2 linked regions of the Sus scrofa genome follow. Each later gene encodes a partner of the first gene's protein in a complex. Links are inferred from orthologs where the notes say so. Each region holds a gene or a part of one and is shown on either strand. Other genes may lie near its edges.

Region 1 (3,642 bases):
GTGTCCTGTTGCAGAACTGTAGAGACATACATGACTGTGTGAGTATTTTGAAGGTGTTAATAGAATTATTGCACTTGGTCTTCATGATAGAGCTTGGCTGTATTTTCCTCTGCTCTCAATGTCTGAACTGTCTAGACTCTGGAATGTCGTAGGAGCCAGGAATGAACCCACAGCCTTCTTTGCTCTCGATGCCTAATAGACTTCCCAGGAATCTATATCTGGTGGTTCTCGCCCCCCGACCCTGTGGGATCCATCCCGCTGGCTTGACGGGAGTGATGCTCTACCCCAGTGTTGGCGCCTCCTGGGCTAGAGGAGGCTGTGGTTAGTCTGATTGGGCTTGCAGGTGGTTTTTTTTTTTTTTTTTTTTTTTTTTTGGTCTTTTTGCCTTTTCTAGGGCCGCTCCTGTGGCATATGGAGGTTCCCAGGCTAGGGGTCGAATTGGAACTGTAGCCACCAGCCTACATCAGAGCCACAGCAACTCGGAATCCCAGCCGAGTCTGCAGCCTACACCACAGCTCACGGCAACGCCAGATCCTTAACCTGAGCAAGGCCAGGGATTGAGCCCGAAACATCATGGTTCCTAGTAGGCTTCGTTAACCACTGAACCATGACGGGAACTCCTCGCAGGTGGTTCTGAAGCAGTCTTCCCTTTCCAGTTACTCCTCTAATCCTTTTCATGGACTTAAGTGGTGTCAGTAATAGGTCCGTGCTCCAGAACTCAGGATGCCTTGAGACACTCCCAGGGAGCTTCAACTCTCAAAGTCCAGACTATTCTTGTCGCAGACTCGTGGGGGCGGGGTGGCGGTGCAGGGTTTGATGTCTGTGTGGACTCATTCATTGTGGTTATTGGCCTCTTGAAGAGGGTGCATACCGAATGCAACTTTGAATGTGAAATTATCTATAGAATAATATATATATTTTATAAATAATATAAATAATTTATAGAATGTGTGCTACTCACTCATACATTGTTAGAAAAGTGTTTTCTTCACATTTTAAAATGTTCAATTCTTTTCTAGAAGGCAATGGGCTTTGGAAGATTTTGAAATTGGCCGCCCGCTGGGTAAAGGAAAGTTTGGTAATGTTTATTTAGCAAGAGAAAAACAAAGCAAGTTTATCCTGGCTCTTAAAGTATTGTTTAAAACTCAGCTGGAGAAGGCAGGAGTTGAGCATCAGCTGAGAAGAGAAGTAGAAATACAGTCCCACCTTAGGTAAGTCTTGAGGTCGATGTCAGAAGAGGGATGGATGGAACTTGGTTATTTAACGAGCTCACTGTAATAACCTCCTTTGGAGAAGGCTGCCTTCCTAGCACTGCAGAGAGTGATTAAATTTGACACTCTTCAGAGGTTGATTTAGACTTAAGTGCTGTGGTCCTGGAACATTGCTTGAAGGTTTGTTTTGTTATTGGAGTAATTTACTGGACATGTTTTTTGGGGGTTTTTTTGATTTGGTGGATAATTAAAGGGAATGACACCTCTTTTTTTTTTTTTTTTTTTTTTTTTTTTTGAGTTCAGGTTTCAAACTGGCAGCCTGCAGGTTGACTTAAGCCAGTGGGTCTTTTCTTCTTTTTCGCTTTCAGTGAATTTTTTGGTAATGTCTCATATAGGCTGTGCTCAGCTGCCCAGAGTCCTTAGCAGCACACCTGCTTTTGTCAGACATGGCTTCTGTGTTGTCTGTCTCATTGTGTCCAGGGTATCAAACTACTGTGGGGATGCCATGTCTACCTTTTGTTTGTTTTGTTCTTTTTTTCCAAATTTGCAGAGACTTAATATTTACCTAGTTTTTTTCCCCCTAAGAGCAAAGATGGCCTAAAGGAAGGAAATAGTCTTAGCCAAACAAGGTCCATTGATACCGTGTGAAATGCGTGTGAACTGATAGGCGAGGTACACCTGTTTCTTACGGTGCGTCTCATCCGTAGTTTCAGACTCTCCAGGTGGGAGGGGAGGGTGTTTGTGGCCAAGAAGCAGTTGTCATGACTGGGTTCACAGGAGGGGTTTGTTTGCTATTCAGTACTTATTCTTGTATCAGCTCCCAAACCCGGTGTTAGAGAGTTCGTCCTTCTTGCAGGCATCCAAATATTCTCAGACTGTATGGTTATTTCCATGACGCTACCAGAGTTTACCTAATCCTGGAATACGCACCTCTCGGAGCTGTCTATAGAGAACTTCAGAAACTGTCAAAGTTTGATGAGCAGAGAACTGCTACTGTAAGTTTGCTTTTGTTGTCCAGACTAATTCTGTTGCGCTTCTGTCCCGCGTAGCCGTGTACCTTTCATTATAATAGAGGGGGTTTTGTCAAATGGAAAGGTAGCTTAATAGGATCAAGTATTTGAAATGGAAAAATCAAAAACAACATAGATGTGCCTTTATTTACAGATAAAATCAGTTACCAAGTGGAATATTTGGTTAGTTTCCACAGCTGTGTCTGTGGAAATGTATATAATTAGTTGCCCTCTTTAAAAAAAAAAAAGAAAAAAATTATTTTAGATTAATTTTAGATGTATAGAGTAATTAGAGATACTGCAGACTTTCTCCTATTAACACACACCTAATTTCTCCTATTAACATTTTACGTTAGCGTGATCCGGTTGCCATAACTAATGAACCTGTATTGGTGCATAGCTGTTAACTGGAATCCACACTTCTTTCAGATTTCCTTCATTCTTCTCATGGTTAGATCAGGGTCATGGGTTTTGAGAGGAAGGTCCGAGGGAAAAGGCCTTCTCCTCTGTCAAGAGTTACACTGTTAACCTGACCTAGCCCTGAGTGTTGGCCTCATCCCTGGCGGAGGGAGGGAGGGAGTGGCAACGCTCTCCACTGTGAAGTTACTCTTTTTTCCTCCCTGTCGTGCTGTGTCCTTTCAAAGGAACAGCCCTTGAGTGGTCATGTTCCATGTCCTATAAAGCAGAGCATGGTCATAATTATTGGGAATTTTGTACCAGAGATGTATCTGTTTTCCATTATTTACTCCATCATTTATTGCTATGGACTCATTTTATACTCTGTGTAATCTAATACACTTTGCTCTCGTTGTTTCAGCTTTGGCCACTGGGAGCTCTTTGACATGGTTCCCGTGTCCTTTTGACATGTCCCTGTCAGTGTGTGTGTGTTTAAAAGCACTTTCTTGTTTTCTGGTGCCGTAAGGTGTTCCAGCTCCATCTTATACGTTTCCTATCCCAGTCTTGTGATCGGTTATTTCTCCAGGGAGCTTTGGTTCCCTTTACTGGAAAAGGTAATGTTAGAAACCAAAATCTGGGCACTAGATGTGCTCGTGCTATTGCGTGTTAAAACGTCTCAGCTTTCAGCTGACAGAGAGCCAGGAAATAAGTGCGTATGGTAATCCATGTATCTGAAACTATTTCTGTATCCATCGGTATCTTGCTAAGCAACACATGAGTCCATTGTCACACGGATCCTGTGTCCTCCCCCCTCGTTTATCTGTAACCTTCCACTGTGACATTGAAAGAACTTGGATTCACGATCCGCTGTCCATTTATTCATTCAATTCCAGTGGACGTGTATATGGTGTATATGCTACTAGAATTGGTAACCAGTTACCCTGTGGAAAACCAGTTACCATATAACCACATATGTTACCATATAACATTTGAGATTCATTTGTAACTTTTCATAGCTCATTTCT
Region 2 (4,212 bases), on another chromosome or scaffold:
TTAGTTCCCAGGGCACAACCCCCAGGAGAACCCAAACTCTGAGCCATGCCTTTCTCCCGGAAACCGGTGAACGGGCACCCCTGCCCCGCAGGGAAGCTAGGTGGAGCGACCAGCTCCCCACCCTGGCCCTGCCTCTATCCTGGCATGGGCTGTCTTTTGCCCGCCTTCCCCACGGGGCAGGCAGCCCCCAGGCACAGGCCCACCTCGTCAGACCAGCCCAGCCCTTCCCAGCCACTTTCCACTGGCCCAGGCTGTATCTCCCTGATGCCAGCTGGAAACCCCTCCCATGTCCACCATGGCAGCTCCAGACAGGGCTGGCCACCGCCACCCGCCCTCCCCCACTTACGTGTGAGCCCAAGTTCTCCAGAGATTCCGCGCTTAGGACCCCACTCTCCAACCAGTCAGCCTCCCAGAGGCCAGTTAGCACCTGGCTCACCTGCCCAGCACAGCCCCTGGCAACACCTGAGCTTCCTGGCCGCACACACGCCTCTCCCCGCCCCGCACCTGAGACGCTCTCAACTGCAGTCGCCCTCCCTGCCTGCCCTTCCTGCACCCCTCTTCCAAGGACTGGGGCCGGCCACCTCTGTTGGCATCATGCCCCTTTCCTGGGAGCTGCCCCTAGGTGACAGCTCCCCACCTGCCCCAGTGACCAGAGCATCCTCTCCCCCAGGGTTCTGCTGCCCGCAAGAGGCAGCTGCGACCAGCACCCTCCTCCTCGCACGGGGCGCTTAGCCCACGGCCTCGGCTCTGCGGCCCGCGCGCGCTCCCCCGTCTCTTCCCCCCTGGGGTCCGGGAGATGGGCCTCCAGCGCCCCCCCCCCGCCCCCAGCTCCGCCGCGCGCCCCGCGAGCTCACCGAGCGGCAGCAGCGAGTGGCACAGCAGCGTGGCGGCCGTGCGGCGCAGGTGGTAGGGCACGAAGGCGGCGTCCTCGCTGCCCAGCCAGCCCGACAGCAGGTTCTGCACCGTGAGCCCGGCCGAGTGGAACTCGGTGGGGGTGAACACGAAGCATACGGCGAACACCAGGTAGGCCAGCGTGAAGGTGACCTCGGGGCTGTCCATCGCGCCGCCGTAGCCGCCGGGAAGCCGTCCGGGCGAGGCCCCCCGCCCCGGGGCGCAAAACAGGCCTCAGCGTCCGCGTCCGGTAGGCGCCGGGGCCGCGCGGGGCGCCCTGGGACGTGTAGTCCCCACCCTCAGGCCGCTCGCGGGGCGCTCTGGGAAATGAAGTTCCAGGACCCCGCTCGCGGCCAGACGTCCTGAGCCGCCGCGGCAGTCCTCGCGAGGGTTTGGAGCCTCCCCACGACCCGCCCTGAGGGCGGCGCTGAACTTGGCTCCATTCCACAGCTGGGAATACAGACTCGGGCGAGCAGCTCTCAGGCCCTGGGCCTTTCCGCGCAGCCCAGGCGCGTCTGCGCAGAGCCCGAGATTCCTGGGCGACGGCGGGCCCCGCACTCACCGCCCGCTCTCGAGCCGCGTTTCACCTTCGTCTGCTGGACGAGCCTGGGCTACCGAGAATTCCAGGGGCCGCCCTGCCTAGCGTGCCGCCTCGCCCGGAAGCGGAAGCCGCCTCTTGGGCGCAGCCTCCCATTGGCCTTCGACGCCCTGTGTCCCGCCCCGGCCACGCGCTGATTGGCCGTACGCGCCAACCGTCGATATTTGAATCGGCGGCGGGCAGCCGGGCTCCCGGACACGGCGCCTCCCGCTCCTTCGGTTCCGCGCAGCGGCCGGCAGGTAAGACGGCGACCGGGTCCGGGCTCGGGGCTCCGTTCCTGCCTCTTCTGGCCTGTCCTCGGGCCTTAGCCTGTCGCAGTGGCGGCCTGGACACGGATCTCTGACTCCTCCCGCGGCGCCGCGGTGCCCACAGTCGGCTCTCCTCGCCCCCCCCACCTCGGGGCGCCCCCTTCCCCGGGGTCCCATCTCGCCCGCACTCATCCAGCCGGCCCGGCCGCAGCTGGCAGCGGAGCCGGTGGGCTCTCGGCCCTGCCTCCCGAGGACGCCTAGTGGCCCCTATATCGCCCTCCACGAGGACCCTCCGGCCGGTCGCACCGGTCTTCCCTCTCCCCGGTGACCTCGCCCAGCCCCCGGCCCCCTGTGGCGGTGACCCGCACTGGCACTCCGCCCCTGACCAGCCTCCGCCTTGCTGCCCGGCCCCTCCTCCCGGCGCAGCCCCACCTGTGAGTCATCACCGACCCCGCGGCACCTGCAGCAGAAACCTGGGCTCCAGCGCTGATTCTCAAGAGCCTGCCGGCAGGCCCTCGACGCCAGTCCTCCTCCGCGCTGGCCTCGCCCCTTCTGCTCAGGAGCCGCCTCCCTGGCCCCCCGTCATTAGTAGGAGCCAAACCCGTAGAGGCTGCCATTGTCGCACCCCCACCTTCCCCAGGTGAAGGGATCCCACAGAAAGGGTGCTCTAAGTCTCCCTCCTGTGGCCCAGGGCCCTCCGGCCCCTCCCCGTTTCACCCCGTCCCCCAGGCCAAACCCAGTAGTCCCCCTTGACTTAGGCTTCCCTTTCCCACCTCCCCACGCCGCGTGTGGGCCTGCTGGCCAAGCCAGGGCTGACCGCTCCCCCCTGGCCACAGACAAGAGCCTCTGGCTCCCTGCTTCCCTCCTCCCGCTCCCTGCTCCACACGCAGCACCCAACCCCACACCCTCCAGGCGGCTCATCCCCCTGACCTCACCTCGTTCCAGGGCACCCGTGTTCCTTAGGCCCCAGCCGTTTTGCTCTTGCAGCTGAGGTCCCCGGGGCCCCCACCCCCAGCAGGTACCTGTGCTGCCCAGTTTTCTGGTGACTCCTAAGTTGGGAATGCCGGGTAGGTGACCATGATGAATTTGGGAAGGAGGAGTAGGACTATTCTAGAACCTCGTGGACCCGACCGGAGGCCCCTGGTGTGTTTCTAGTCTCCAGACCCTGGTGTAGAAGCACCTCAACTCCCCACAGGTGATCCTGCACGTGCCGCTTGTTACCATCCCTGCTCCTCCTCTGAGCCTTGGCCCTCCTGGCGCCCCCGTCGGTGGGCAGAGAGCCAGCTGCCCTGCCCTTCTGCTTTTCTGCCCTCCTCCATCTCGGCTGCCTGCTCCAGCCCCAGTGCCAAGGCCTCTGCCAGTTTTGTCACAGATCAGCCCTTATCTGTCTCCCAACTTTTACCCACAAAGTTCCAGTTATTTCGAGGACCTGTTCTTCCTTCTTGCCCTGTGGGCTGAGAGCCCTCCTAGCTCTTTCTCCCGGGAGGGGCAGCTCCCCCCAGAACGGGATAAGGACACGCTCTGGCAGAGGACATGCTGCCTGCGGTGTCTCACACACACACACACACGCCCGTGCAGGAAGGGGACGTCCACCCTGCGGCACCGTGGGGTCAGCTCGCTTGTCTTCACATATGTGCGTCTAGACAACAGGGTGTCCCCGCCCTCCTCTTGACTCACAACTCTCTGCTTTCCCAGAATGAGTCTGCACGTCTTCAGTGATGAAAATGTCACTGGTGACAGAAGTACAGAAAATTGCGACTTCCTGTTTTCACCACTGGAACTTACCGGAAGATCATCTGTCCTCCGGCTGTCCCAGAAAGAAAATGTGCCGCCCAAGAGCACAGCCAAAGCCACGAAGGTGAGCCCCGCAGATCTCCTGGGGGTCACACGTGCAGTCCCGGGGCCTGCTTTCCCGGGGCCTTAGCCAGCTGGCCGGGCGGGGCCCGGTGGCTTCTAGTGTGGTGGGGGAAGGTGTGAGTTATTGGACGAGTGCCTTCCTGTCTCCCCGACAGGTGACTTTTCAGACACCTCTGCGGGATCCACAGACTCACCGGATCTTAAGTCCCAGCATGGGCAGCAAGCTGGACGCTTCTTCAGCTCTAGGGGACACCGTTGGACTAGAAAGCTCTCATCAAGGCCGGGCCCGGAAAGAGAGGTAAGTGTTGGCGCTGTTTGGCAACCCGCAATCGGTAACCTCTCCGGCGGACTCCGCAGGAAAACGTCCGAGCTGGTTCCTCCTGGTCTCTGCTCCAAGTTTGTGTGGGAGTTGGAAGTCGTTTCTTCCTGGAAAGCGAATTGCGAAACGGGGGAAGTTTAAACCTCACACTCCACTCCTCTGTTGTGCCCTTGCCGACAACTTGGCCTTGGTTTTTGTTTGTCTCTGGGCATGAAATGTCCTGGCCGCATTTCCATGGAGGGACACTCTGTGGCTTTGCTGCTTTTCTTCCCTCCTGCCATGCCCGTGGCAGGCACAAG

The links.
Region 2: the proteins of AURKA (region 1) and TACC3 are in contact, whole or in part, in a crystal structure (PDB 5ODT), measured with the Homo sapiens proteins. The link is inferred for Sus scrofa from reciprocal best matches to the Homo sapiens genes AURKA and TACC3. Residues at the interface, in NP_001310232.1 of Homo sapiens: Leu130, Phe133, Glu134, Ile135, Gly136, Arg137, Tyr148, Leu149, Ala150, Arg151, Ile158, Val163, Arg205, Tyr207; in NP_001428248.1 of Homo sapiens: Glu523, Ser524, Phe525, Arg526, Pro528, Val531, Leu532, Gly533.

What each region holds. Positions count from the first base shown.
Region 1 is NC_010459.5:56,958,863-56,962,504, reverse strand, and holds part of AURKA (aurora kinase A), read left to right. Parts: intron 1-1,019; coding exon 1,020-1,211; intron 1,212-2,067; coding exon 2,068-2,206; intron 2,207-3,642. UniProt on the Homo sapiens protein: Mitotic serine/threonine kinase that contributes to the regulation of cell cycle progression.
Region 2 is NC_010450.4:824,124-828,335, forward strand, and holds the start of TACC3 (transforming acidic coiled-coil-containing protein 3), read left to right. Parts: upstream 1-1,309; 5' UTR 1,310-1,728; exon of another isoform or gene 1,729-2,110; intron 2,111-2,682; exon of another isoform or gene 2,683-2,932; intron 2,933-3,432; 5' UTR 3,433-3,433; coding exon 3,434-3,595; intron 3,596-3,749; coding exon 3,750-3,892; intron 3,893-4,212. Other genes in the region: TMEM129 (E3 ubiquitin-protein ligase TM129), read right to left, coding at 855-1,059. UniProt on the Homo sapiens protein: Plays a role in the microtubule-dependent coupling of the nucleus and the centrosome. Involved in the processes that regulate centrosome-mediated interkinetic nuclear migration (INM) of neural progenitors.